7 separate regions of the Mus musculus genome follow, and all the other regions are reported to be linked to region 5. Evidence: microRNA targets listed by miRTarBase, many of them from high-throughput screens and not tested one by one. Region 5 holds a microRNA gene; each other region holds the end of a gene's coding sequence. Distances are from middle to middle.

The links. The annotated mature microRNA mmu-miR-3089-5p reads UGAGUUCAGGGACAGCGUGUCU and lies in region 5 at 1,522-1,543, opposite strand. An mRNA with a match to its seed (bases 2 to 7 or 8) in the 3' UTR can be bound and repressed. Matches are read on the target gene's strand: a 7mer-m8 pairs with bases 2 to 8, a 7mer-A1 pairs with bases 2 to 7 and ends in A, and an 8mer does both.
Region 1: miRTarBase lists Cracr2b as a target of mmu-miR-3089-5p. Seed matches in the 3' UTR shown: 7mer-A1 at 3,541-3,547 and 7mer-A1 at 3,512-3,518.
Region 2: the mRNA of C2cd2l is a reported target of mmu-miR-3089-5p. Seed matches in the 3' UTR shown: 8mer at 1,674-1,681 and 7mer-m8 at 2,224-2,230.
Region 3: miRTarBase lists Foxk1 as a target of mmu-miR-3089-5p. Seed matches in the 3' UTR shown: 8mer at 3,625-3,632 and 7mer-m8 at 3,812-3,818.
Region 4: miRTarBase lists Lrp4 as a target of mmu-miR-3089-5p. The part of its 3' UTR that is shown has no 7-base or 8-base seed match.
Region 6: the mRNA of Gpcpd1 is a reported target of mmu-miR-3089-5p. Seed matches in the 3' UTR shown: 7mer-A1 at 2,115-2,121 and 7mer-m8 at 2,088-2,094.
Region 7: miRTarBase lists Poglut3 as a target of mmu-miR-3089-5p. Seed matches in the 3' UTR shown: 7mer-A1 at 1,007-1,013.

What each region holds. Positions count from the first base shown.
Region 1 is chr7:141,465,937-141,470,001 of GRCm38, reverse strand. It overlaps Cracr2b (calcium release activated channel regulator 2B), which reads right to left. Exons shown (of 10, transcript NM_001025103.2): 10 at 3,400-3,956. The coding sequence ends at 3,779. It overlaps Cd151 (CD151 antigen), which reads right to left and starts at 2,640. Exons shown (of 8, transcript NM_001111049.1): 1 at 2,536-2,640; 2 at 1,456-1,583; 3 at 657-747; 4 at 345-536; 5 at 1-65. The coding sequence starts at 740. It overlaps Gm10575 (predicted gene 10575), which reads left to right and starts at 2,231. Exons shown (of 2, transcript NR_152219.1): 1 at 2,231-3,120.
Region 2 is chr9:44,307,403-44,311,467 of GRCm38, reverse strand. C2cd2l (C2 calcium-dependent domain containing 2-like) reads left to right here. Exons shown (of 14, transcript NM_027909.2): 14 at 201-2,231. The coding sequence ends at 412. Among named protein-coding and RNA genes, the nearest start is that of Hinfp, 3.8 kb to the right of the region's middle.
Region 3 is chr5:142,456,124-142,460,187 of GRCm38, forward strand. Foxk1 (forkhead box K1) reads left to right here. Exons shown (of 9, transcript NM_199068.2): 9 at 353-4,064. The coding sequence ends at 633. Among named protein-coding and RNA genes, the nearest start is that of Ap5z1, 5.8 kb to the right of the region's middle.
Region 4 is chr2:91,511,296-91,515,360 of GRCm38, reverse strand. Lrp4 (low density lipoprotein receptor-related protein 4) reads right to left here. Exons shown (of 38, transcript NM_172668.3): 38 at 1,460-3,932. The coding sequence ends at 3,600. Among named protein-coding and RNA genes, the nearest start is that of Ckap5, 13 kb to the left of the region's middle.
Region 5 is chr2:30,718,700-30,722,764 of GRCm38, reverse strand. It overlaps Mir3089 (microRNA 3089), which reads right to left and starts at 1,555; the gene lies at 1,472-1,555. Gm14488 (a long non-coding RNA gene) reads left to right here and starts at 1,578. Exons shown (of 4, transcript XR_866106.3): 1 at 1,578-2,792; 2 at 2,895-3,059. It overlaps Gm39782 (a long non-coding RNA gene), which reads left to right. Exons shown (of 3, transcript XR_866107.2): 3 at 52-1,202.
Region 6 is chr2:132,527,048-132,531,112 of GRCm38, forward strand. It overlaps Gpcpd1 (glycerophosphocholine phosphodiesterase 1), which reads right to left. Exons shown (of 20, transcript NM_028802.3): 20 at 2,035-3,695. The coding sequence ends at 3,506. Among named protein-coding and RNA genes, the nearest start is that of 1700026D11Rik, 38 kb to the left of the region's middle.
Region 7 is chr9:53,399,442-53,403,506 of GRCm38, forward strand. It overlaps Poglut3 (protein O-glucosyltransferase 3), which reads left to right. Exons shown (of 8, transcript NM_212445.2): 8 at 246-2,426. The coding sequence ends at 371. Mir130c (microRNA 130c) reads right to left here and starts at 1,445; the gene lies at 1,364-1,445. It also overlaps a transcript of 4930550C14Rik not described here.

The DNA of each region.
Region 1 (4,065 bases), not on the chromosome of region 5:
TAGACATAGGCCAGGATGCCAGCAATGATCTCCAGGAGGAAGATGATGAGGAGCAGGATGAAGTACTAGGGAGCAGGGACCCAGTAAGTGGGGGGTTGCTAGTGCCAGAGTACCACAAAGCCAAGCCCCCAACCCAGGAGGCCAAGCAAGAGGAATTCAGTTAGGAGCTACACTCTGGGGCTGCCTAGCTCCTTCATAGTTCTGAAGCTCGTGTCTGCCCCAACAGGGACAGCCTGCAGTAATACACTCAACCAGTTAAGTCCCCAGAACCAGTACCAGAGGCCCCCTGAGAAATCCATGCAAGGCACCCCTAGCCCCACCGTGTGCCACCATGCCCCACTGACCAAGCGTAACAGGTTCCGTCGCTCCTTGAAAGTGGCACAGCAGCCCAGGACTCCAGTCACCATGACAACAACACCAGCCACCACTAAGATGTAGGCCGTGGCTAGGTAAGTGCTTGAGGCCAGCAGACTAATGTAGTCACTCTTGAGGGCCAGTGTCCAGATGCCCACTGCCATGACAGCCAGGCCGGCCAGCTGCAGAAAGTATATACTGGTCACCACATCTGGCCTGGGTCTGGAAGCTGGGACTGAGCCCCCCAGGCCAGGCCTCCAACATGGGGACTAGGGATGCAGGGAGAAATTAGCTCTTCTCACCCAGAAGCAGCAGTTGTAGGTAAAGAGCAGGTACTTGAGGCAGACTGTGCCACATGTTGCCTTCTTCTCATTGAATTCACCCATCCTGGGCCTAGAGGAACGGGGAGGAGGTCAGATGGCCTGAAGCACCAGGCCTCCAAGTAGGAAGAAAGCTATCTACCAACGGAGACAGGAGGAGATCCAGCAGTCCCCGGATGATTGCAGTTTGGAGCTCAGCCAGCTATCTGCCCTCAGAGGAGCATTCCCAGGAACCTTATGAGTCACTTCCTGAACTAACCTCCTCACAGCCAGACACATGGTGGGTTATCATGGAGGACCCCCCAACATCTGCTGACTCACTCCTGCTGGCAACAGGGGGGGAAGCACCAGCAGACCTTCAGGGTACATTCCTGTTGATCGGCACCCCCAAGCATTCCCTGAGTCCCACAATCAGGCTGCTAGGTACTTACCACTCATACCCGTTCCCAGATATGGCAGAGAGCTCAGGCCACCCTAAGGGACAGTTTGTGAGGACTCTGAGCTGACTCTACTACCAGCCAGGGCAGAGACAATAAGATGCCGGTAGGTGGAGCCTGTACAACCAGCTCTCCTCCCGACTGTAGGGGGAGGTCCCAGTTCCACATATGTGAATGTGCCACTCCTCCAGGAGTCCCCTAGTCACACCCTGCCCTAGACACACTATTGTCTGACTGAGGACAGTGTACAGACCTCGGCTGACGCAGGTCAGATTCCCAGACACACACCTAAGCAGAACTGTTAGCCAGGGGCCTTGAGGCTCTGCCCAGGCACCAGCTCTCACCTCTCAAGTCAGGACCAGCAGGTACAGGTCAAAAGTCACTCTCTGCCCTTCACCTAGCAGGTGGGATCTTGCCACTCCAACTACAGAAGCTTAAGCAGTGGTCAAAATGGTTCTCAGAGCCACCAGATCTGCAAGGAAGCATAACAGGCAGGCCTGCTGTTTTCTACTGGACGGCGGCAGGCCAAAGAACATGGCTGACCTGCCTGATCTAGGGAGGGACCAAATGCCTTCTCCAAGTGCCCCACCTTCCAGTCCCATCCATCACAGTCCCTCCCCCACCAAACAGCAGCGACCGCAAACTGAAGGAGGATGCATCGACTGTCCATTTTGGAAAGTGGGAGAGATTTCAGAGCTCTATTTGGAGATGGGACCCAAAAATGCATGCTGCCTCACTGAAAGCGGGCAATGACATAAAGAAGCCTGGCCACAATGCAAACCCCCGGGGCCAGGCTCTAAAAGCCCAGAATCTATGGGCTTTTAGACACATCCATCAACCTAAGCCAAGAGACAATCAGCAGACTGGATGTAAATTCTCTGTGAAAGTGCCGGTGTGAGAGCCTGGACCAGCCAGAAATAGCTCCTGCGGCCTGGACACAACCGCCCTACACTTAGCTCCTGGACCTGTCCTGGGCCTTCGGCACCCGCCCCACCGACCCGATTAAACACTGAAGTGGGCTGGGCGAGGAATCCCCGCGTCACAGAGATGAAGTCACCACCGCCCCTGCCGCCCTCCCCCGCCCCGTGCCAGTGGGCGGACCTGCGGTCTCAGGGGAGGGAACCGGTGTCCAGGGACAATGAATAGGGTGGTCAGACTTTTAAATTTCTGGGTTTCTGCACGAAAGAGACCGTCAGGCCTGCTCAAGAACCACAGAAGCTCTCTCCCTCACCCCTCCCCCTCCGGCCTTCTAACTGCCCGGCCCCGGCGTCGATCTTCCGGAAAGGAGTCTGCAACCCTGTCCTACCTCAGGCTCTGCCTCCTGGGCGTCCCTGAGGCCAGCTTGGAGACTAGGAACACCAGTGAGCGAGGAACTCAGGACACTGCTCCCCACACCCTCCGGCTATGCTTCACGGAGCACTCACCAACCACGCTTTGAAATACCAGCCCCGGCAGCCACGGTAGGAGCGATCACTCGGAGTACAGAGAACGCTCGGCCCGGGGCCTGCGAGGACACGCCCTGCGCGCGACCCCGCCCCGGGCGCAGCCCCGCCCACGGCCGGCCTGGGCAGGCAAGTCCTAACTGGTTTGGTGCTAAGGCGCGCGCCAGAGAGACCTGTGGGTCTGTAAAGTTAGTTTAAAGGTGCCCCGTTTGTCATCAAAAGCCCCAACTCGCCCAGAGACAGAGGAGCTAGACCAGAGGTAGAACCCAGGTGGGGAGCGAAGAGGTGGGGAAGGTGGCACCTAGCCCACCAGAGGTCCAGAACTGAGGTCAAGACCAGTTTCTCTAGTCTAAGCCGGGAGAACCACTCTAAAGCTGCAGGTTCTAGCGGCTGAAGAAATGCTAGAGGGGAAACTCCAGATACAGTGTGGAGGGTGCCAGAAGATTCCATAGAGACATGAGGGCCCTGCGAGAGGTGCCCAGTGTGGGTGGCATATGGTCTGGCTAGGAACTGTGCCAAAGGATGATGGATAAAGGACCTGGACCAGAAAGCTAGCTGACCACGGAGGTGAGGAGCGGGACCTTCCACGTGTGGACTAGCGTGGGAGCGGACACCTGTTGAAACCTGAGTCCTGGGAGCTTCAGCTGGGAGGAATGGGTGAGGGCTTGGTGAATATCCAGAATCACAGAACACACACAAGCACACAGGAACCCCCAGCTGCAGGAACGAAGGGGTTAATGTGCACCTGTAAACCCCTCCATGTCACCTTGTGCCATGGATACCAAGCATGAACCACAAATGCACCGTGGCTCCCAAACACACAAGAGCCAAGGAGTACACAGTATACAATGGCCTTTATTGGTCCTTCAGACAAAGATTAAGGAAGACAGGATAGCCGGGCGTGGTGGCACACGCGCCTTTAATCCCAGCACTCGGGAGGCAGAGGCAGGCGGATTTCTGAGTTCGAGGACAGCCTGGTCTACAGAATGAGTTCCAGGACAGCCAGGGCTACACAGAGAAACCCTGTCTCGAAACCCCCCCCCCCAAAAAAAAGGAAGACAGGATAAAGACTGAAGGACTGAAGGCCTTGACTACTCTGAGGTTAGCTCCTTCAGGCATGGGATGCCTTCTGGGTAGAGCCACACACTTAGCAAGTATCCGCCACCAAGACCAGTCCCTCCTAGGGGCAGTCCTCTGGATAGGGAAGTGAGTCACTCGGGGCTGGTCATCGGGCACTAGGAAGATGGCCAGAGCCTCGTCTGGGGGGCCGAGCCCAGCCACAGCAGCAGCAGCAGTAGATGGGTCCGGGCTTGTGGGCAATAGCTAGAGCCTTCCTGTGGCTACTGCCCAGCAGCTTGGTCTCACAGGCATCTCTCTCATCTCGAAGCCTCAGATTCAGCTCCCTAGAAAAGAGAGGTAGGAGACCGAGGAGGCTAAGATCTAGAGGAAAAAGTGCATGGGGGAGATGCCTTCCCTGAGTCAAGAGGACTACAGAGCCAGCCGCATGAAGGC
Region 2 (4,065 bases), not on the chromosome of region 5:
CCCTCCCCCTAGGACTGTGTTCCTTCCTCAGGATGGGTGAAGCTCGCGTGCGCTTCCACCGCCTTTCCTGAGAAAGGCAGGCATTAGGGAAGAGACAGAGTACAGTCGTCATCTTCTGTATTAACTTCCTAAGTCTTTTCTCCACCCTCATCCCAGACCTGTGCCCCTCCGTCCACCTCAGTTTCCCTTCTTCCCTACAGTGAGTTTCCTGCGCAGTGGCACAAAGCTCATCTTCCGCCGGAGGCCCCGACAGAAGGAAGCTGGTCTGAGCCAGTCACACGATGACCTGTCCAACACGACGGCCACACCTAGCGTCCGGAAGAAGGCTGGCAGCTTTTCCCGTCGCCTTATCAAGCGTTTTTCCTTCAAATCCAAACCCAAGGCCAATGGCAACCCTAGCCCCCAGCTCTGAAAGCCCCCGAGCTAGGAGAGATCAAGAGTTCTCTTAGTCTGTCCCCCACATCCCCTTCTGTACCCCTTCCTGGATCCCCACTGCTGGGGCCAGGAAAGCCCTCGGGTTATAGGGAGCCCCAGCACACTGGGCTGTGGGGTGAGCGGGAAGGGTGTCTGACATGGGAGGCATCTGGGAGGCAACAGTTGTTGCGTGAGCGTAGAGGAGAGTTTGGCAGCTGAGAGTCAGGGGCAAGCTCTGTCTTGGGCGTGTGGACACTCATCAGAAGCCTCTGCTGGTACTGCCGCCAGAGGGGAGCCCAGAGTACTCTCTCATCAGCAGGTCCTTCTCCCTTATTTATTCTCGTTTCTATTTATATGTGTGGTCTAGAACCCTTGGCAAACAGATGATAGAGGGCATCTCTCCCAGGTGACCCTTTTCTGTCCCAGGAGGGTAAGGCAATTCCCAGGACGGGTTTCTACCCCTCCCTTGGGAGTCCTCTCTTAGACCAGCACCAATGTCTGCCTTCAGAAGACATTGGCAGATCACAGGAAGCCGGGCTAGGGCCCGGGATGGGGGGCAGGCACTCCCCACCTCCCTACCTCCCACATCGCTCCTTGTCTCTCCTTCCCCTTTATTACCATTTTGTACTTGATGCCTTCTCCATGAGCAGTGGCTCAGTTGGAAGGAGGGAGCCAGGAAGCTGGGAGGAAGCCTTCCCTAGAGAGCCAGCTTTAGGAGTTTTAAAGACAGTACGATCATAGAGCAAGGTTGCACCTCTGTATGTTGGGAGATGATGATGTCCATTGCTGTGTGATGGCCTGGAATTTAATTTATTTAATTAAAATCAAATTGGAGTTTATAAACGGGAGTGGCTGGTTATCCTTTGAAAAGCAAACAGGCCTAAAGGCTGTGGTGTTGATAGAGTGGGCAGGCGGGCTCACTGACTATGACCTAGGCAGTCAGGTGGCACAGGTGCCCTTGAACACAGATACAAGTAGAGAGGTTTGAGTGATGATACTCTGAAAAGTCAAGTTGCTGCAAAGAAGCCACCCCTCCCCCACAGGCTGTTCTTTCTGGGCTGTAACACGATTTAGAGTGTGGACTCTGAGGCTGCACTGTTCTGACCTGAGACCCAGCTCCACTGACCTTTGTGACCTTTGTTACCTTTGTGACCGTGGACAAATATGGGGCCTCAGTTGTTTTGGTTTGTTTTTGATCCAGAGCCTCACCTATGTTGTCCTAGCTGGCTTAGAACTCCTTAAGTAGACCAGGTTGGCCTTGAACTCAGAGATAGCCTGGTTTCTTCCTCCTGAGTGCTAGGACACCACACCTGGTTGTGTACTCAGTTTTTTTCTTCTGTCAAATGGGGGCTAGGGACTGGGGATGTAGCTCAAAGGTAGAGTTCTGCCTTAGCATACCCAAAGCCCTGGGGTTTGTCTCTAGCAATATTTCATAGAGAGGATGAAGCCAGGTGTGGTGGCTAACACAAACCTTTAATTTCAGTACCTGGGAACTCTGTGAGTTTCAGGCTAGTCAGGACTATATAGTGAGACCCTGTCCAAAACAAACAAACAAACAAAAGCACTATTCCTAACATAGGTGAGTTTTAGATACCTACAGATATGTCTCTGTTTCCTGTCCTTTGGGATATTACACAGGATTGAACCAGGTAAGCTGCTATAGGAGGTTAGGCAAAATGCAGGACCAATAGGCAGGAAACTAAGTGTGCCACCAATATCTCTATCTGGCCCAAGCTGCTACTCTTTCTGGACTCCAGTTTCTTCACCTCTAAAATAAATGAAAGTGGCCTGGGATAATCAGGTCATTTCTGAACTCCAGCCTTGATGTATATCTTACCCGGGCTTGGCTTGTGAATAGACAGCACGGTTTTTTGGTTTGGTTTGGTTTTTTTACTGTTGTTTTTTTCTGATATAAGGTCTTTCTATGTGGCCCAGGCTGCCCTTAAACTTTCCCAGTGCTGAGATTACAGGTGTGTGACGTCACACTTGGCTATAACTTGTCTTAGTTTTTTATTTATTTATTTTTTTAATGTGTGTGATGATTGAGATAGAAATCAGGGCCTCATACATGTAAACTCTTCCACTGAGATGCATCCCAGACCCTCTTTTCCCCTTTTATAGATAGGATCTCACTAAATTACCCAGATAGGCCTTGACATTCTTTATAGCTCAGACTGACCTTGAATGTATAACCCTGCTGTGTCAACCTGTCGAGTGCTAGGATTAAAGATGAGTTCTAACATCCTGGTGGTGGTAGCTGTGGCTGTGGCACACACCTTTAATCCCAGCTCTTGGGAGGCAGGGGCATGCAGATCTCTGAGTTTGAGGACAGCCTGGGAAACACAGAGAAGACCTGTCTCAAAACAACAGCAAACAGAAGCAACAACAACAAAATATTAAAGTGTTCTATTTTGTCTGACCTAATCTATACCCTTTAATAAACATCAATGGTGCTTTGTAGGGGGCAGCTTTTTAGAAAGTAGTCCCAGAATATGTCTGGATAACCCAGCCTGAATTGTGGTTCTTAAGATGAAAGTGAACCCTAGTAGGCAACAAAACACTACCTCGAAGTCTGGACTTTAAAAACTGAGCCGGGCATGATGGTGCATGCCTTGAATCCCAGCACTCGGGAGGCAGAGGCAGGCGGATTTCTGAGTTCAAGGCCAGCCTGGTCTACAGAGTGAGTTCCAGGACAGCCAGGGCTACACAGAGAAACCCTGTCTCGAAAAAAAAAAAAAAACCTTAAATAAATAAATAAATAAATAAAAACTGGGTGCTGGTGGTGCAGGCCTTTAATCCCAGCACCCTAGAAACGAGGGGTGAGGCAGAAGAGAACATTCAGCCACAAACAACACTTGCTCCTTTTGCAGAGGACCTTGGCTCAGTTACCAGCACTTTACCTGGCAGCCATAACCATCTGTCCAACTGTAGTTCTTGGGGTTCTGGTGCCCGCTTCTGGCACCAGGCCATGCATGATGCACATACATTTAGTCAAAGTATTTATAAAGGTTTGCTTTTAATTCTTGAGATGGTTCCGAGGAAGTGGCTTAAACACTGCTTTTAAGCACCAAGTCCTCTTGACGAGGACCCTGGTTCAATTCCTGGCACCCACATGGCAGCTCACAACTATCTGTAATTCCAATTACAGGGAGGATCTGATGCCCTCTTTTGGCCTCTGCAGTCACAGCACACACATGCTGTACCCACATCCATGCAGCAAATACTTGTAGACATTAAAGAAGTAAATCGTAGCTAGTTGTAGTGGTGCATGCCTTTAATCCCAGCACTCGGAAGGCAGAGGCAGGCAGAGCTCTGTGAGTTCAAGGCCAGCCAGGCCTACACAGGATTATAGAAGTGAGGTATCATGACCACAGCTACATTCTCTTTCTCGAGACATTGCCTGTAGGATCTTTCTGCCTCCACAGCTGCAGCAGATTTGGGTTTACAGGCCTGTGAACACCTGGCTCAACTTGACCTATTTTTATGTTGTCTCTAAACTTTTATTTACATAGGACACAGACAAAATGATTTTTGAGGAAGTGTCTCTAGCCCAGGCTGTCTTGTCACCTACTATATAGTACCAGCTCCCGGAAACTGCCCTCAGGTTTTATGATCCTCCTTCCTGCCTCCCCTTCCCCTGCCCCTCCCCTG
Region 3 (4,064 bases), not on the chromosome of region 5:
CAGGCAGGATAGGTCTTCCCTCTTCGTGACCCTGATCTAGAAGCCCCTCACAGACAGGCCCAGAGGTTTGTTTCCATTGCAATTTTAAATCCCACTAAGGTGATGTAAAGATTCATCATCACAGAGGCAAAGAGGGGAGGGAGGGGCATCCTCAGGGTGACAGAGGCAGCAAAGAAAAGGGCCCTGAGTGGAGTCGGGTGTTGGGTGTCTGACTCAAACTTGCTGTCGGCGGGGAGAAGGAGTCTGTGTGAGGAACGGGCAGAGAAAGAACTGTGGCTCTGGCTTTGCTGCTCGGGTCAGTTAGTGGTCAAATAGTGATGACCCTTAAGTAACCTCTTCTTCCTACCGCCAGCCCTCAGCAGCCCCCTGCAGCTCCTGGCAGCCCAGGCAAGTTCATCCACTCCAGTGGTCATCACCCGGGTGTGTGAGGTGGGGCCTGAGGAGCCAGCAGCAGCCGTCTCAGTAGCCGCTAATGCAGCGCCAACCCCAGCCGCCTCCACTACCACATCTGCCTCTTCTAGCGGAGAGCCCGAGGTCAAGAGGTCCCGGGTAGAGGAACCCGGTGGGACAGCCACCACACAGCCCACAGCTATGGCAGCCACCGGCCCTCAGGGCCCGGGGACCGGCGAGTGAAGTGTCGCCTGCAGGAAGGTGGAGTGAAACTCACGCCACAGGAGCCCTAGTGGCCAGCAGCTACATTCAAGGACCGAGTGGAAAAGCCCATCACAGCCTGCAGCCCTCATGTGGGTGGCCGCCGCACTCGGACAGTTTCCTTTTTATCTCCTGTCCTCCCATGGTTTGAAACAAACACATAAACACGTACAGACAACTTGATTGTATGAATCTGGGGGTTCTGTGTGTTTATTTACCCCTCTCTCATGCCATCGCCTCTCCCCAGTTCTTGGGGGAGAAGGTCTATCTAGCCCAGCTCCTCAGGAATGGATCCCAGGCAGCGCCCACAACAAGAGCCTGAGCCCCAGGCCTGGACAGAAGCACAGTGCAAACCCAGGCTCCTCTCTCTGAGAGTGGGTCCACGGATTTCCTATTTGTGACTGATCCGGGAATAGACCAGAAAACAGAATGGCAAGAACTTCCCAGCCACAGGCTAGGATACAGAGCCCTCTCCCCAAAAGTGACAGAGACTGTGGCATTAACTGGGGTCAGGGAGATCTGCTTTGGCTTTGGACCCTAAATATTTCTTTCAGCTAAATATGGAATCTGGGCTCATCTCCAACCTGAGACACACAGAGCAGACCATGTGTCTCTGAGGTTCCCTTTTGTAGGCAGCCAAGCAACACCAGGCCCTGCGCTCGACCACACCAGGCCCTGGTGAACATGCCGCTCTCCCTGATAACTCCAAGAAGGATGGGCGGCTCCCACATTGATGGATCAAAGAGCTCTGGGTTGAAAGTCAGCCCAGGGCCAGTGCCCACAGCACTGAATGAGTCGAGAGCTGCAAGCTACAAACGGATCTCCAGGGAAGCCTGAGCCAGCTGCAAGGGAAGTCGGTCAGCCACTTGCTCAGCAGGAGGATGATGGATGGTGGGTGGTATGCGGCAGGAAGACAGCAGAGGATCTGGGCGGTGATCTGCTCACACCGTCTCCTCCCCCACCCACCCCACCCCCATTCCAGTTAACTGAGAACCCTGTCCAGTTTGAAAATGGAAACCCTCTTTTCTACCTGACCGTTATCCTCTGGAAAGGAAACTACCTCTCCGGACAGCAGTCGGTGCCAAGTTTGAGTACAGTGCAGCAAGAACCAAAGCGTGGGTGTCAGCTGAGGACTTGGACGCCCGGGGAAGGTCCCTTTGCATGCCGGACAAGTGACCAACAGCACTTTAACATACACCACACCAAGTCTCGTGAGCAGGAGCCATCAAATGTTTCTCTCTGTGAGAATGAGAGTTGATTTTATAGAAGCAGTCATGGGGGCTGTGCGACAGGAAACTCCAAAGCAGCCAGAAACTCAGTGTTGGTCCTCCTAGAGGGTGGTCGGTAAGCAGCTGGCAACAACTTGGACAGAGCCCCAGGCCCTGTCGTTGGTATCAAACCACCCACCAGTCAGCCGCCTTCTCTGCCTGGTGCCGGTCAGAAGAGGCCCAAGGGCCCTGTGGGCAGAGAGCAGGCTGGACAAGCTGCCTTTGCTGGAAGGGACTCCAGACCTGGAGGCTGTGGTCACAGGAGAGCAGATGACCGGGATGGATAAGTCCAAGCTCCGATGTATGGCTGCTGCCATTGAAGCCACCAGTGCCCCCCACACATCAGGGACCAGGGCGGAGCACCTGCCTCCTCTCTTGAGCTATCTCCCAAGCTCCCCAGCCAGTCATTTCTGTAGTACTCGGCTTCAAGCCAGTGTTTTGGAGGTCTCCTGCCTATTGCCTGGAAAGGTTCAGAGAAGTGGGGCTGGTGTGATGGTGGCTGGGGGAGGGGTTTCCCCTCAGAGGGGGCAGAGGGCTGGCTCTGTCTCACATCTTCCCTTGGTACCTGGCATGAACTTCTCTCTGTGTGCCTGGTGTGAGCCTGGGGTTAGGGAAGAACGAATGGGGTGGAGATCTGAGTTGCGTAGTGGGCTGAGGTGACAAGGGACGTTGGTGCCAGCTGCTGATCTTTCCCTCCATCACCCTTTACTCCAGGGCTGTCCATGGTCACCCTCCAAGGCAGATTAAGATTGTGGATGGTCATGAGCAGGTTGCTGTCCCAGTTCCTGAAACGTGGGCTCCGTGCTCTGAGGCAGATCTTCACCATTAACAGGGGCGTGGAAGGGTATGGAGAGAGAGAGAGAACACACACTGTCCCGGTACACGGCCTGACGGCCTGGTTGGACAGCCTGAGCTACAAGGAGGCTAGACTAGTGCTGCTGCTCTGCGGAGTGGGTTTGGTCATCTGCTGGGCAGAAGCTGGCACCAGAGCGTGCTCCCACAAGCTCTGAGCCAGGAGGGCCATGTCCACGCACTGTGTGGCCCATGGCTGGCAACCCTGGAGCACCCCACTAAGCCCTGGGTTGGGGGAACAATTCAGGAACAGATGTGAAGCCTTTATAGACAAAGGAACCCCTTGGGCAGTGGTAAAACAGTGTAAGGTGGGGGTTAAAGGTCAGTGAAATGTAAGAAGAAACCCTTCCCCATAGAGAGAAACGGGTGGATTGTTCCTGTTCTTCCTCAAAATCCTCAAATTTCATAACACCCACGTGACATTGCTCGCCCAGTCCCTCCCTCCCCATCCGAACTGCACAGTGCCTGCTTAGAATAAGTCAGAAAGGGGTGGCGTCTCAGCTCTAGTGAAAGGTCCCTCATGTGTGGGAAACATCACATCCTGGCCAGGAGAGGCAAAGTCACCACAAATGGCCACAGGGTACCCCGAGGCTAGGTCAGGGGGAACAGAGCGGCCACCTATATCCTCACCTCCGGTCTCCCAGAATACCTCTGCTTAGAAGCAATATTAAAAAGGATAAGTCAAGCTGTTCCAAAGATTGCCACTGCAGACACCACTTCCCTTCAGAGCAGGCCCTCTGACAGGGACTTTGGCTTGCTGGGCCGGGTGGGCGGGGCAGAGAACAGAGGCCTTCTGCCTGCTGCTTCAGTCCTGCTCCCCATTTAATGCCCCCTTTCATCTTGGGAGTTCTCATGAACTCAGGGTGGGTCTTGCACCCACCTGCTTGTTGGGCTCTAGATTGTTTTGTTTTGGGTTTTGTTTGTTTGGGTCTGTCCTGCAAGGTGAGCTACTAGGCCAGTGCTCTACCACTGGCTGTACTCCCAGCCATTTTGATTTTTTAAACTTGAGATGGGACTCACAAAGCTGCCCAGGCTGGCCTTGAACTCCCAGTCCTCTTGCCTCAGCTTCCTGAATTTCTGGGGTGATGGCCTACATGCTACCATGGCCCAGCGCTGTTTGCGTTTTGTCTTTTTTTGTTTGTTTGTTTCTGTACCAAAAGCTGCTACACTGGTGACACAGCAGGGTGTGGCCTAGGTGCCCCCACAGACTGGCATATGGCACGTCTCTCTCTCTCTCTGCCCTCCCTAACCCCTAACGTCACAGCTGCTTGGCAAGGGAACATTTTTGAACCA
Region 4 (4,065 bases), 61 Mb from region 5:
GAATCCTCAACCCTCCCTCAGACTCAAGATTTTTCTTTGTAAATGAGATTTTTTTTTTTTTTTTAAAGAATGTGTGTGTGTGTGTGGGGGGGGGGCTGGAGAGATGGCTCAGAGGTTAAGAGCGCCGACTGCTCTTCTGAAGGTCTTGAGTTCAAATCCCAGCAACCACATGATGGCTCACAACCATCCGTAATGAGATCTGATGCCCTCTTCTGGGGTGTCTGAAGACAGCTACAATGTACTTACATATAATAAACAAACAAACAAACAAATAAATAATGTTGGGGAAGAAAGGGTTTAGTTGAACTTGAACTAGTCTGTTGAGTTTTGTTTTTGGCACACCAGATCACTTACCAATCAAATCCAAGTCTTTTTCTTTTTTTCTTTTTCATTTTTTTTTATCTTATTCTTTTGGGGGAAAGAGAGGGTGGTGAGGGCACAGTTGCTAGACTCCAGACACTGTGAGACCAGGCATTGTTTAGGTGGTACTTTGAGAGGGGACATAATTCTAGCAACAGTTTAGGATTTAGAAAAATCAACCATTGAGAAACTTGAAACTAAACTCTACAAGCAGCATAGTATTCGGGCTAGAACATTTCCAACTTTTCACTGGAATAATACCCAGAGAACCTGAGAAGGGCTCCTTAGCATCTTATTCCTGCCTCAAGATTCAGTGAACACATTAGGAGAATGTAGGTTTTTGTTTTTGTTTTTGGAGACTCTGTTTCTTCCTTGTAGCCTTGTCTGTCCTGGAACTAGCACTGTAGGCCAGACTGGTCTTGAACTCACAGAGATCCTCCTGCCTTTGCTGGGACTAACGGTGTGTACCACCACATCCTGGCAGAATGTAACTTAAAAAAAAAAAAAAAAAAAAAGGGCTCCGAATGTGTGTGGTGCTGGAGATAGAATCCAATTCCCGTTCCAGGATTTTTCATATCACATTGGACACTTTTGCTGGTTACCATCATTGCAAGGCAAAGTTGAGTTCTGTGACACGGGAGTCCTCAATGAATGAAAACAGGATTCATGGTATATATGCCCTGACACTGGCTTTGGAACCTGGAGACATCTCTAACGATCATGATTGTGGTCCTGTCCTGACAGGACCTCAGGCAGCTTCTATCAACCCAATGAGCTGCAGCCAAGGTGAACCTCTCTGTCATCCGTCCTCTAAAGGAAATCAGGCTGACATATCAGTCAACTCTCTCACCATGTTCTCAGGCTGACATATCAGTCAACTCTCTCATCATGTTCTCAGGATGACATATCAGTCAACTCTCTCACCATGTTCTCAGGATGAGTTGAAACTCCGACACAAACCTTACACCCCTTATTTCCCTCCGTGGATCACACATCTCTGAAGACATTAGAGGTGATGTCCCCAAGTGGGTTTTCCACAGAATGGGGTCTTCCAGATAGTGCAGGTGCAAGAGTAGTCATGACTCCAAGCCAGCCAAAATAATTAAGAAAGCTAAATTTATATTAAATTATCATAAAGCCCTAAAATACTGAACATAGTGGTTAAATAACTCCAGAAAGTCCAATCTCTCCAGTGAGTAATGTTAAAATCATTACACATGAGCATGGGAAAATCGCTTCCATTAGTTTAGGACAGAGAGATTTTTGCCCTTTTTACAGAGTAAATCAGTGCTCAAATAGATATTTCCTCAAATTCGTCCTTTCTACATTCTGAACAGCCCAAGTGCAAAAAGATCCTTGCCCCTTTCCACTCAGGAGGACACCACGCTTCTGTTTCCCCCCCCCCCCCTCCTCCCCAACTATGGATTTAAAGGCTCAAGTGCTGCCTCATTCTGTGTGAAATGTCCATCTTTCCTCTTAGAAGTGGCACTGTACTTTTCTCAATTGGTTTACTGGAAAAGGCCATTGGCCTGCTCTGGCTCTGTGTGCAGACATATATCTGGGCCTAGCTAATGACAACAAGACTAATGGTTTGACATCTGTCTCTTACTCGTAATAACTGACCAGAAAAGATTTGATCTTGTTTGTTCATGCGATGCCTGGCTGCTGATCTCTGAATAGCAATAAACCATGAAAGATGTTTTATGTCAGGAAACTTCCCCTAAAAGTCCTCTCCTCCATTCTCAGCACCTGCCAATCTCTCCTGTGCTTCGGTTTCTATGGAGAAGTGCCTGAACTTGCTCTGGACTGGTTCTCACCACCTCTCCACTCCTTGCTTACCACTTTACATCTTCACTGACCCTCCTCATCATTGGACATTAGCGATTGAGGTGACACAGGACCGGTTAGAGAAAGCAAGGCTAGACTCCCCTCTCTCAGAAGTAGAAAAACTGGGATGAGATTCTAGGGCAGCACAAAAAAAAAAAAAAAAAAAAAAAAAAAAAAATCTCAGCTCCCCTGAGAGAAGCCCTTGGCCTAAAGGAGCATGAAGCTAATGCTGGCACTTTAGTGTGGACAGGGGCTGAGAAGAGTTGGCACATGACCTTTACCACCCGAGAGCCACAGGCTGTGTCCATGAACTTGGATCCCTGAGCACTTGAGAATGAACTCAAGAGGTTCAACCTCACAATTCTCCTCCTGAGCCCCTGGGTGTCTTGTGTCTCTCTAGTTGCTCTTTCTGACCATTTAGGAAAATGTTGAGCCAGTCTTTGAAAGGCTGTGACAGAATTGTTTCCCTTAGAATCCCACAGAATGGAAGAGAGAAGAGTAGAATAGGTGAAGCTCGGGTAGGATGCTATGCTTTCTTTGCAGAGCTTCTTAAACGTTCTACAAGTCTGCTCTCCAAGGCCCACCCAATGTTCACTCAAGCTCACAGCATAGCTAAAGGCTTAAGAAAAGTACGGCCCATCACAGCACCAGGAGGGAATTCCTATTAGTGAGTTGCCATGGCAGGAGCTATCCAGTTATCCAAGGTAGAAATGGCCCCAGACATTCCAGCAGGAGGAAGAAGAGCCTAAGCCATTCCCACACTTCACCTGTATCACAACTGACAAAGCAGTGACTTCTGGATGAGGAGAATGTCCACTGCCAGCAATGGACATGATTCCAGGGCTCGAATCCCCGCCCCCCAAGGTTTTTCATAATTACCAACACTTGAGGCTGGAGGTTTCCCAAGCACCCAGACCAGCTGGGCTGCTTCTTCCTTCTCTCAACCTCTGTCCATTACCTTTTAACCTGTGACCTCCAGTCCCAGCCCCTGGTAGGCCAGTTCACAGGGAGGCCATCATGCCAGCTGTGATGGGGAAGACCAGAGTCTTATATCATGAATTGCATCGGTGCTGTGGGGCAGGCACATAGGATGCCAGGGCAAAGGGAGACGGAGCTCTGTGCTGACAAGGAATCACACTGAGCCCAGCTTCAGGGGGCCCAGGATAGAGTGCAAGAGGTGAAGTTCATGGTAAAATCCAGGTCTAAATTCTTGAGATGTGCCCTCACTTCTTGTCCCCAGGTAGTTTTGGACTCAGATGAGTAACAGGTTCTATGGGGGCTCGGGAGCACTTTGGGGTGGGAGGAGGAAGATGCGTGCATGGGAAAGGGCCCGCGTTGTTATGTGAGCACAAGGATCAGAAGTCCACAGAGGAGAATGAACAGGCAGGCAGGGAAGAGAATGTGGGCAGCACTTAGACCTGGCTTTCTGAGGAGAGCTTGCGTTCGTGTTTCCAGCCTGTGTCTGGCAGAGAGCCCCGTCTCTCCGGAGTGGCTGCAGTGTGAACACTGCTACACTCAGACTGCTCTTCCTGAAGCAGCTGCTCTGTCTCCGTGTCATCTAGGGAGCCAGAGCTGGCCTGGATGGACACTGTGTCTGTCTTCATGCATACGTGATCCCGTAGAAGGCCCCCCCTGGAGCTGCGCAGTTGCTTGAGGTCACCCCATTCAGCGTCATCCCCAGCCAGGAGGCGGATTCCCTCTACAATCTTGATCTTCTCCTTGGTGTAGCTGTGGTCAGGTCCACCCTGAGGTAGAGAATGGAGACACATGGTCGGTTGGCATTCTATAAAGGTCCTCATGGTGAGCTGAAAATGGAAGCAGAACTGAACCCAAGTGGCTAGGGTGGACAAAACCCTCACAGACTGCTAGATCAATGTG
Region 5 (4,065 bases):
GAGCACAGATCTCAGAACTCCTAATGTTTGTTTCTTGTTCTCCTTCCCCAGCCTCCTGAAAACACGGATCCCCATCAGCCTAAAGTGGTCTGGGAAATGCTTGGTCTTCCTTACACTGATTCCTGTGTCTTTTTGTTGGGCTTTGGGTTGGAAAACTCTAGAAGAACCTAGATCAAATTTTAGAATTGAACCCTGAGGGTCCAGGCTTAGCTCACCCAGCAAGGCAGCTTCCCTGGCCTATGCAGCACAGCCACCTGCCTTACGCTGAGCTCTGGCTCCTTCAGAGGCCTCTGGCATTACCAGTGCTTCTTGGACAGTGTCTTGTTTCTGAACTTTAGGCCACAAAATAGAACAGACTGGGGTGCCTTTGGACCCAAGGGTAGGAGGACAGAGCTGTACTCCCAACTGAATTAGGAGGCAGAAAGACTGGGGGGTGGGGGGTGGGCATGGCATCCACAGAGAGGCAGGGGTGTGGGAACCCTCTGAGGGTGCCGGGCAGGGGCTGTGGGCCAGGCCTGGGAGCCTCGGGGAGGCCGGCAGGCACAGAGAAGGAGGCCTCCTACCAGACACTGTCTAGACGCAGCAATTATTGTCAGCTCGGAACACCCAGGCTCTGCCTGTGCAGCTGAAAAGGAGCTTAACAAAGAGAGAGGGAGGAAGAAGAAAGCGGAGCAGAGCCGCTCTGAGCCTGCCTGCCCGCCTGCAGCCCGCGGCTCTTTCTCTGCTTGGGCTCCCCCCCTCTTTGTGTTCCACAGGCACTGTTGAGGGGACAGCTCCTCACAGCTCAGAGATGCCTGATGGGGACAGAGCAGGAGGTGCAGCTCTGGGGCCCTGGCCAACTCTTCTGAGCTAGGCTTCTCAGAGTGGATGCTGGGAAGTCTGGGTCTTGTCCACTTTAGAGGGCTCTAGCCTACACCCTTGTCATACTGATGGGGAGCCTTGGGTCACGGAATGACAGCCTGACACCTACCCTCCTCTGCTTCCAAGGAGCCAGGCACTTTGTAGATAGGGTTAGGGGTGGGGGCTCAGAGAACACAGTCAGCCGTGGGGTGGCTTCAGGTCTGTCCTTTAGATCTGGGCCTTATTCTTCTCACCCTTGGGAGGAGGTGAGAGGGCAGGGCCAGCATAGCTTTGATGGGAAGCCCACCCTCCCCCGCCAGGACAGGGTTTCTCTGTGCAGCCCTGGCTGTCTTGGAACTAACTCTGTAAACCAGGCTGACCTTGAACTCATAGAGACCCTCCTGCCTCTGCCTCTTGAGTGCTGGGATTAAAGGTGTGTGCCATCACTGCCTGGCTGGAAGACTGTTATTAGCCGTGGCAGGCCCTTCAGAGCTGGAAGATGAGCACTTTGGATTCCATATGTGTCCTAGAACCTTCCCCCTCCTCTCAGTTGCCATTCCCGAGACCCCCTTGGCGTTGGCAGCAGTGGTGCTCAGAGTGTAGGGGTGGAGCCTCAAGGCCCTGGGTTTCTGCAGCTAAAAACACAGCTCAGGATCAGCAGATGCTCAGACAGAGAAACTGAGACACGCTGTCCCTGAACTCAGTTGCAAGCCACCAGCTGTTCCCCTTATCTCCCTGTTCCAGGGCATCTGGGCAGGGGCTCTGCTCTCAGCCCAGTCTGTAGCTCTAACTCTACCCACTAGCTTAGGCTCATGGAAAGGACCTACTGTGTGCTCAACTCTGCTCTCCTCTTGCCAGCAGTTGGGGTTGGGGGCCGGGTGGGGAGTGACTTGGTGGGTGGGCACCTTCTACATCCTGTGGAGGTAATGAGCAGTCCCAACCTACTGCTGGGGAAAGGCCTGAAGCTGGTCAGGGCTCCAGAGTGACTGGGTAGGGGTAGCTGGGTCCCTCTCAATCCTTCTCAATTAGAGACAAGGCCCTCAGAGCAAGAAACATGCATACCTGCCCTTACATCACACCCGAGGCCTCTTGATCTGTCCCCAGGACCTTCCCAGGCTCCAGGCATCGGCCTGGCCTGCCCGAGGCTCAGCCCTGCTGGCCACACACTGTCTTGTCTGCTGTGTCTCCCAGTACTCAATTATAGGAACAGAACCCTCCTCTCTCCCTCTGCACCATTACCATAACAAACCTGATTCCCCTGCCTATACTGCAGACCCACCGGGATCAGCCGGTCCACCAGGATTCTAGCATATTCTGCAATGCCACTGCAGCTCCCTCAGCCCTCCCCACTGGGTCTTCCTTTCACCTGGCGCTCTGAGCCATCTCTACCAGACCCTCAAATATGCGAAGCTGCCAGCCTGCTCCTGTGAGTTGTCCCCTGCCTCCTGAACAGCACCAGCCCTCCCTGTCACATAGCCAGCCCAGACAGCTTTCTGATTCCTCCCGCATCTGCACTAGGCTGGTCTTCCACCATGGCACAAACCAAGCTTGAGTTCAGCCCCCAGTTCCTAGCCTCTGGGAGCTTTGGAGACCTGTTCTCTCTGCTCCATAAAAGCCTGCCAAACCTTCCAGAGGCAGGAATTGATAGACCACTTGGATCTGAGGCCTGAAGACTGCCAGTCCTGTCTTCCCTGGCTTCGCATTAGTTGAGTTAGTCATCCCAGTAGATCCTCATGCACCCTTCTCTAGGACACTTCTGACCCCTGCTGAGATCACACACACAGCCAGTCTGCCTAAGTCCCTGATATTTCAGCCTTCTTGGGGGCACCCAATGCATTTTTTATGGCTCGCCACGCCTGCGAGCCCTGTGGGCCAGCTGTCTCTGGCTTGTCTCACTCTGTGAACCCAGCTCCTGCTTCTGAGGTGCCTTCCCAGCCTGACACCACCTAGAGGTAGGAGAAGTGACTTGGGCCCACACCCCCCCCCCCCCCCCCCCCGTAAGTGAATCCCTCTCGGCCCAAGCACCAAGGCAACCTCTTTGTCCTCTTTCCCAGGGCCTCCATGCAGACTCCCAGGAGTCACCGTGAAGGCCAGAACAAGGCTGTGCCATTGTGCTGCCCACTGACCTGAGAGCACTCCCAGGAGCTGGAACTGCCTTGTGCCCAGTTCCTCCCTCAAGCCCCCATGCAACTAGGCCAGTCCACAAGGACAGGAGGATGGTAGGTCCAGCAGGGGTGGGTACCCCACATCTATTCCTCCTCCAGAATTGGCCCAGAGCGTTCCCCAACCCTTGCTGTGGGATATCTAAGCCTCATCTTCCTTCCTCCCTGCCCTGCCTGTCCTTTCCCTCCAAATATCTATCCCTCTCCTCTCCTCTCCTCTCCTCTCCTCTCCTCTCCTCTCCTCTCCTCTCCTCTCCTCTCCTCTCCTCTCCTCTCCTCTCCTCTCCTCTCTCTCCTCTCCTCTCCTTGTTCTCGCCTCTCCTCTCCTCTTTTTCTCTCCTCTCCTCTCTTTTCCTCGTCTTCTCTGAGTCCTCCCTGGGCCTCCTTCCTTTCTTCTTCCTGGGTTAAAAATAATCAACTTTCTGGGAAGCGGCAGTTCCCGCTGAGCCGCCCTCCCCACACACGGGAGCCCCTGAGAATAGCTTTCTGCGGCTCTCCACTGAACCCCTCCCTCCCTCCTCCCTCCTTCCCTCCGCCCCCTCCCCGCCGGCTGACTAATAAGCCGGGCAGCCGGCTCTGCCAGCTCGCTGCAAGGGCGTTAACTGCTTCGTGCCCGGGTGGCGTTCAGCATATAGCGACAACAGGAGGGTTGTAGGGCACCAGGCCACACGGAGCCGGAGCTCTGGGCCCGTAGTAGACGTTTAACTAACCCAGCTCTGCTAGGCCGAGTGGTTTGGTGAACTTTGTCATCTAACTACCGCTGCGAGCCTGCTGCTGCTGCGGCTGTTGTGTGGCTAGCTAGTTCCTAGCTTAGGAGGAAGGGGTCAGTGGGATCAGTCAGGAGAGGCACCCAAGGGTCGGGACCACGTGAAGGGTGTGACTGGCCTAGTGACTCCTTGGCCCCGGATTCTGGGAACCATTGCGACGGGGCAGAGGTCAAAGGCAAGGCAAGGCTGCCTGCTGCTCTGGGGATCCATGCAGGTACCCCACTGGGAGGGACTTTGACAATTAAGAAATTACATCTAGGGAAACTGAGGTCCAGGGGGTGTTATTCAGGCTAGGA
Region 6 (4,065 bases), 100 Mb from region 5:
GAATCAGAACAAAACTCCAGGCTGCCGGGGACTGCAGTAGCTAATAAAATATACAGGACAGTTGTGACGCTAGAAGGAAAAACCCACTTTAGTTATGACCAGTCACTTAGAAAATCCCTGAGGCTCAATAAGACCCTCCTTCCTCCCCTACCCCCCACCCCCCACGTGTTAGATTTGGACTCTTTTGACACCTGGGAGCCTGTTAATGTCTAGGGGCTACACAGAACTGGCTCCATGCCTCAGCCGCTGCAGCATATGGAAGTGGGCCCAGCACTTCCCTTAGGCAGCACAGTAGAGCCAGCCCCGAAGGCATGAGAAGTAAGAGCTGGCACTGGCCCCTTGCCAGCCGCAGCACTGGATGAGCTAGCTGGGGCAGTCAGTGCTGGAGAGCTTGCCCTGGTGGTGTGGGGTGCAGGAGCTGGCGGGCTGAGCAACTCAGCTACCATCCAAGCCCAGATCCAGGGCTTTGAGCTGGCCATCCCAACATCTATTCCATCTATGAACAGCTAGAGCACATAAAGGGGCTGGTTCTGTAGATCTAAAGTTGCAGGACCTTCATGACACAGGATAGCTGAGGAGTGCAGGTGAGGATCCAGTATTGATAGTGTAGCAGAAGCCAGAGGCCTCGAACCAGATCAATGATTTACTGCTGTGAGCATTTGCAAATAAAGATGGACAAAAGGATATACTAAGTGACATACTACTGCAGCTTCCGAGAGACTTATTTTCTTTTGGGGGTGTTGCAAGGGCGGAGGGCAGATAAGGTCAGGGGGATAAGTGGGATTGGGGTACATAATATAAAATTCACAAAAATCGTTTATGAAAAAAATCTTCAGAGTAGCTGTTAAGATGTAGGAATGAACTTTTAAGTGCTCTTTCATCAAGCTAATGTAACCAAACCCATTACACTGTAGATGACACATGCAGTGACAGCTACAGAGAAAAAGGCACAAGGGAAATGATCTGTCATCGTGCATGACTGGCAAGTTGCCCTGCACCACACACAAGTCCAATGAGCTCTGTGTTCACAGACAAGAGGTCAGACCAATCCTTACCACCACCTCCATGAGGGAGCTGTATGCCTTGCCTCCATACTGAGCAGAGCTAGTATAGGGAGCAAATGCCAGAGAATCATAGAACTTTCCAGAAAGTGTAAAATAATTTAACATTAAACATCTGCATGTAATAACTGACATCAATAAGCTATCCCAGTGGTCATAATGTAAGCCACTTCAAAATGTGCTTTCATAATAAATAAATACATTTCATTTACTGTGGAAATAAAAGTAAAGTTGGTAAGATGAATGCCAACTGTGTCTCTGGAATGTCCCAAGGCTCTGTAAGATCACTGGTAAATGCAATAAGGAGTAGTAAAATATTCAAAAGTGTTGGCACTGGATAGTTAGATGAGGCAGCAAGAGTGTGGGCCAGTTGATGGGGAAGGTTCCAAGCAAAGGACATATAGGCACAGATGGAGTGGTGCAGAGCTAGTCACAGCATGGCTGAGTAGAGGAAAGGTGACAGCTAGTGACATGGAGGCACTAGGTTAGCTCACATAGTCTAATCAACTAGTAATGGAGAAGACAGTGGTCAGGCTCTATGGTACACTAGCCTAGCTCTTCTCAGCAAACTAAACTGCTTGGGCCCAGTCCCTACCAAGTCCTCTGTAAGATGCACCCTTGTGCTTTTCTTCTGTCCTACACACAATAATGGAGCTAGGAGGGAAAATACATGGGAATGGCCACAGAACAAAACTAGAGAGGCAAAGGGAGCACACCACACGGTACACAGGTCTATGAAGAAAGTCAATTACATTTTCTGAAGGTACCTGATTATGTGGAAATGTTAAAGATTCATTCAACATGGGAAAGTATATAGAAATACCCTTGTAGAAGACCATTTTCTAAACTATGCTCCACTAAACATCATGTTACAAATACAATACCATAGGGTTTCTGACCCCATCTCCCCACAGTGAAGAACTGACCCAAACCCCCATTGTTGCACTGTTAAGAACAAATCAGGAAGCCAAAGGTGGTGGCGCATGACTTTAATACCACTTAGGAGGCAGAGGCAGATGTATCTGAGAGTTCAAAGCCAGCTGGCTTACACAGTGAGTTCCAGGACAGCCAAGGCTACACAGGTTGTGTCAAAAATTGAAAGAAAAAAAAAAGTACAACTTGTCATCTCAAGTCTTATGTTTTTAACTTCTGTCAATACATGCACAAACTGCCTCAGCAGGAGCACTGAGAAAGTGTGGTGAGTCGGCCCATACAAGCAGAATAAAATTTCTATTTGTAAGACAGAATACCATTATAAAACCATTCTACAAAATACCTTCTTGAAATTTCATTTTAAGATGAGGAAAAAAATAAATCTGTCATTTTATTTAACATTCATTCTGAAGTTACAGTTTTATCAGTACAATCTGCTTCTAAAGAAATCTTAGTATAATCCTAAAAGCATGCATTTATATACAGTAAGATCTACATTCCTAAATAAATTACATACATGATATATATTAAACAATAAAGAATACCAATTTGAGAATTCAGGACATTTATTTTTCTGCATGGGAATTTAACTACTATGCAACACACAGCAATTATGTTTACTAGGTAGTGAGACACTTATGTTTACTAGGTAGTGAGACACTAAATAAGCATACTCAAAGTGTCTAAAACAGACTTTGTTTTTTAGGCGACAAAATATTTTATGTCCTTAACATCTCCCTCACCTAGCACCAGATGCAAGGACTTAACAGTAAACATGTACAATCTCATGCTTAAAACCTAAAGCATGCATTGAGTCAAATTGATACCTTCTGATCTACACTACTATATATGCAATATATACTTCTTACAAATACTTTATACATTAAGTTACCCTGCAGCATTCTGGAACTTTAATATCTTTGAATGGTTTATGAGACAAGTTTTGAGGTTCATCTGCAGGCTGGCTTGGGTCAGGTGAGAAATGGCAGCAATCTGAGGTTTATACTAAAGGAAAATGGTGCGTGTTCCTATCAACCATGTAAAGATACCTATGTACATGGATGACACAGACCTGTGCAGCTGGAGCCACCAGTGCAAATGCATGCATTGAGGTACTTAGTTTTTCCATGGTCAGGTATAATTATGCAATCATTTTTCTCAAGCACTGAAGATTTAAGACTTAATCAAATGAAAAGCCTGAACTTTAAGTATGAGATATTTATATCGTTAATTTCCAACTTTTAATGAAGATTCACCATTATAGGCTTAGATATCTCACTGAAATGTTTAACAGTATATTTTCTTATTGTACAGAGACTGATTGGTAATTATACCTGGACAAGTGACAAATAGCATACTTGATATTCTTGCGGGACCTGTAATGAAATAGTAAAATACTTCATTATTGCTTCATTGGACTGAAAAACCTAAGAGGCAACAGCAGTGCTCGATGGTGAAAACTAAACATGAGGGCAGCGGTGTGCCCCTAAATGTCCTCTGTGCACTGTGAACTAAGCGTTCTCCACACTATCAATGCCGTTGGCATCCACGTGGATATCAGGCTCCACACAGAAAGAAGAAGGGATGAAGTGGCTAACAGTGGGACACAAACAGTTCTTAAGCTCTGGCAATTCTTGCTTCAGGCGCTCCAACTGCTCCACTTGGAATATATTTGGCTGTTCAGGCATCCAATCATATATCCTATGGTGAAAACAGACACACAATAAGAATAATGTAATTTCATGTTTATTAAGGACTGTCTGACTTAACTTTTTAAGAAAATCCATTTTAAAACTACCTGGAATATTCATTCTTATTGTATTTTATTCTACTTTAAGATAATGATAAAGATCAAAGCATTAGGTGAATTAATTCTCAGAATAGACTGTTCTTTTGTAACCCCGGTCATAAAACAATTCCTTGAATCAGAAAATGGAATTTGTAGTGCTCTAGTGATTCTTGAAGTATACAACTGGTGATGCCTTAGTTTACAGGAGGAAAACCTCCTGAGCCCTGAAACTTGTCCCCAGTGACTTAACTCACAAATGACCAGAGATCAGAAAGAGCCTCT
Region 7 (4,065 bases), not on the chromosome of region 5:
TATGAGGGAGGCAGAGACAGGCAGATTTCTGAGTTCGAGGCCAGCCTGGTCTACAGAGTGAGTTCCAGGGCAGCCAGGGCTACAGAGAGAAACCCTGTCTTGAATATATATATATGAATGAAATTAAAATGAGCCAGATCTTTGGTTTGGGTTTGAAGCGCCATGGTTGGAGGTGGAGGTGTGGGGGAGGTTAGACTAGAATGAAGCATGAACTAAACCTTCTGTTCCTTCCGAACATATTTCAGAAATATGCCGAGCGCCAGGCCAGCAAGCCCATGATTCGTGATGGAATGGAGCTTGTTCCCCAGCCGGATGATGGCACATCCATCTGCCAGTGCCACCGGAGGAGGCCTGAGAGGGAAGAGCTTTGAGGAGACCCAGCTCCATACTCCTTTGTATGCCAGCTGCATCTTTAAGACTTGTGAAAGATGCTAAGCTGTGAAGGACCAGAGAAACCAGGCCTGGTGGGTTAGGCTCACACCCGCAATCCTGGCACAATGGAAGCAGAACAAGAGGATTTCATTAGTGCAAAGCCTACCTGAGATTTGTGGTGACTTCCAGGCCAGCCCAGCTTACCCAGTTGGATCTTATCAAAAGACCAGAACAAAAAAGAAATGTAGAGAAATGCTAAGCTTTTAATCCCACACTCGAGAGCCTAAGTCAGGAAGATCATGAATTTCAGTATTATGAAATATCTTTGGAGTTGCTTGTTTGTGCACCCTAGTGGATAAAAGGCTCATAAATCACTGGGAATCCGTGGGTGGCACGCTCAGGTGCACTGGCTTGCTTCTGTCTTTATCCAAGATAAAAGTCGAATTCACTTACTTTTATATTCAATTATGAAGGGCAAAGTGTTTGGGGAGGCTCGACTGTCTCCTCCCTGTGTTGTTTCTCCTCTTGGTTTTTTTGGTTTTTTGGTTTTTTTTTTTTTGTTTGTTTGTTTTTTTGTTTGTTTGTTTTTTGGTTTTTCAAGACAGGGTTTCTCTGTATAGCCCTGGCTGTCCTGGAACTCACTCTGTAGACCAGGCTGGCCTCAAACTCAGAAATCTGCCTGTCTCTGCCTCCCAAGTGCTGGGATTAAAGGCGTGCGCCACCACCGCCCGGCAAGAATTTGTATCTTTAACTAGATCTTAGAAATATCAGCATGACAAATATCCCATATGGACATGAGAAGAAAGACTGCCTCCCTCGCTTCTACCTCTTTAACCACAGGTTCAGAAAGAAAAAGGTATTTTGTTAGAGACACATTAATTTTTTTAAATTGATGTCGTTTGAGGCTGAATAGTCCTAGCAGAACTAGGAGAAAAAGAAGTTGAAACAAACTAGGCAGTTTCTATTGACTTGTCCGATTCTCATTTTGAACAGTCACACCTTGGAACATTGCACTGGACACAGAGTCTTTGACACACAAACCTGCAGGGGACATTTTACATCCAAACCGTAACAAGTCTATCAAGAAATCTAGGTTAACTCCACTTGACCGTAGCCTTTGAAATGAGTTTTACATGGCTTTATGGTTCATTAACTTGCACATACCTTAGGGGAACCAGCTGGTTTATTAAGCTCCAATTCCTTCCCTTCCAACTTAACCAATTGTCCATATAGTCCATTAGCCACTTTTAATACTGAAGTATTTATCAAAATATATCTGGCTTCAGGGCCCATGAGTTAAGAATAAGGAGAAACCCCCAGAGAGGGACTGGAGGGAGAAAGGGGACAGTGATATAATTATACCTTAATTTCAATAGAAGAAAGTTTTATATGACTTTCAAAAAAGGGAGGGATGTAAGGCTATAAAGATATAGGTGTGTTTATTTGAATAAACTGTCAACAATGTTTATGGCTTGAAACACTGGCCGTCACCCATCGGTTGTGAGCGCATTGCTTGCATAGCTACTGACATTGCTCGCATAGCTACTGACGAGTGGAGGAATTGAGCACCACCATCAACAAGAAGAAACCAGTTTTAATTATGCGGGAATGAAAGCTTTCCATGACCAAAGGCACAGGACAGAACGTGAAGACATTTCCTAAAAGAAAGGGTTGGTTGGGAAGAGTACAGAGAGAGGGGGATTTTTATTTTCGCTTTATACCATTTTATAATATCCAAATTGGTTTTAAACTATGGATATAGAATCAAGCTGTAAAATAAGTGTTAACATGCTAAAAAATAAATAAATAAATGCACAGAGGAGACGATAAGAAGGGGAAAGAAACAGATATTTATGTTTTCCACAATGCCATATTAAGAATCCATGTCTAGAATGTTGTCCTGTGGTTTTATTATATACTCTTTTTTTTTTTAAATAAAGCACATTTTTATAATAAGAAAGGGAACTCCATGTACTTTAAGATTCATACCACCTGCACCCTGATATGTCTCTAAGGCTTGCTTATTTCTTAAAAAAATATATTTTCTGTGTCTGAGTGTTGCCTGCATAAATATTACTACCCCACACCTTGCCTGGTACCCACAGAGGCCAGAAAAAAATGGATTCCCCGGAACTTAAGTTACAAATGGCAGTGAGCTGCCATGTGGGTGCTGGGAACTGAACCTGGGTCCTCTGCAAGAGCAGCCCGAGCACTGAGCATTCCCTCTGACCCTGCTCTAGCTTTCTCTCCATTATGTCCTCATGAATAACTGAACTAAAACTGCTGTCATGGCCATTCTGTCCCTATTGGGCAGAAATGGGGGCAAAGTGCTTTATACCACTTTACATTTCTAACATGTGTCTCATTCCACTCTTCTAATCCTGCCCTTTCTGCTTTTATTCCTCCCCTGTGCCTTCCTGACTCCTCCCACACCAATCATTAATCAAGAAAATGCCCTCACAGACTTGCCTCTAGGTTAATCTGATGAAGGCACTTTCCCATTTAAGGTTCACTTTTCCCAGAAGACCCTAGCTTATATCAAGTTGACAGAAAGCTAAGCAGCAAACAGACCTTCATGGGCTCACATGTCTGAACGCTTGGTTCCCACTTTGTGGTGCTGTCTGCAGAGGTTACTGAGCCTGTAGGAGATGCAGCGGTGAGAGAGAAAGACCATCCCTGGGGAGCAGGCTTTGAAGGTTTACAGCCTGCCCTGCCTCCTGCTCTCGCTGCACTTCTGTGTGGCTCCTGAAGCCAAGCCAACCCTTCCCTTTCGTGGTGGCCGCTGGCGCATACGCAAAATAAGCTTTCTTCTTCAAGTTGTTGCTCTGGCATCTTGCCACAGCAACAGGAAAGTAACGGATACACGTGTTTTCCAAGGACTCGCCTTTACTGTAAACGACTAGGCGGCGGCAAGAAGAAACAAACTCCCTAGAGAAACACGAAAGCTGTCTTCCCACCACATCAGGCCATCTGCCCAGGTTTCATGTCCCACGCAATGAGTAAGAGCCCCCTACCACGACACACATCACTGCCCGCAGACGGGGCTCTGGGGTAGAAGCTAAAAAACCATCCATGGACAATTGTTTGCCCTCTGTGCCAGGACTCTAGCATTTGGGGTTGGGGGAGGGGGGCGGGGGAATTCACCAAGCAGTCCACGGTGTGAACCAGTGTGGAGTGGAATGGTGCCTCGCAAAAGGAGTAATATAAATAAATATTTTGCTCTTACTGGCATTATGTTATTTCTGTTACTAATGGGAGCTCATGGATTTGGACAGCTGCACTGGGCCCAGCGAGCCGGGTGAACATAGAGATTGATAGTAGCTAACCTGACTGGGCTTGTTGCAAAAGTCCCTGGAGCTAATTAGCCAGAAAATGAGCTGTAACAGCTGACTGGCTAACGAGGCTGTATATAATCAAGTTATTTTCGAAGTTCATTTCTGTTTCTTATAAACACTGGTGCTCAGCGAAGTTCCCAGAAAACCTTTCGCCCCTGGTAGATTCCTGTCTATTGAATAGATTTGTTGAGTGTTTCTGCTCGGCTTGAGTAAACCTTTCTGACTTTACTGTTCTAGGGAATTTAAGCAGTTTTGGCCTAGTCATCGGGGCCTGAAGAGGAAGCACAGCGGCCCCGAGAATCACTGGGTGAGTTCTCCACCAGGCGCGCCTTTTCTCAACTTTCTTCGATTTGTGATC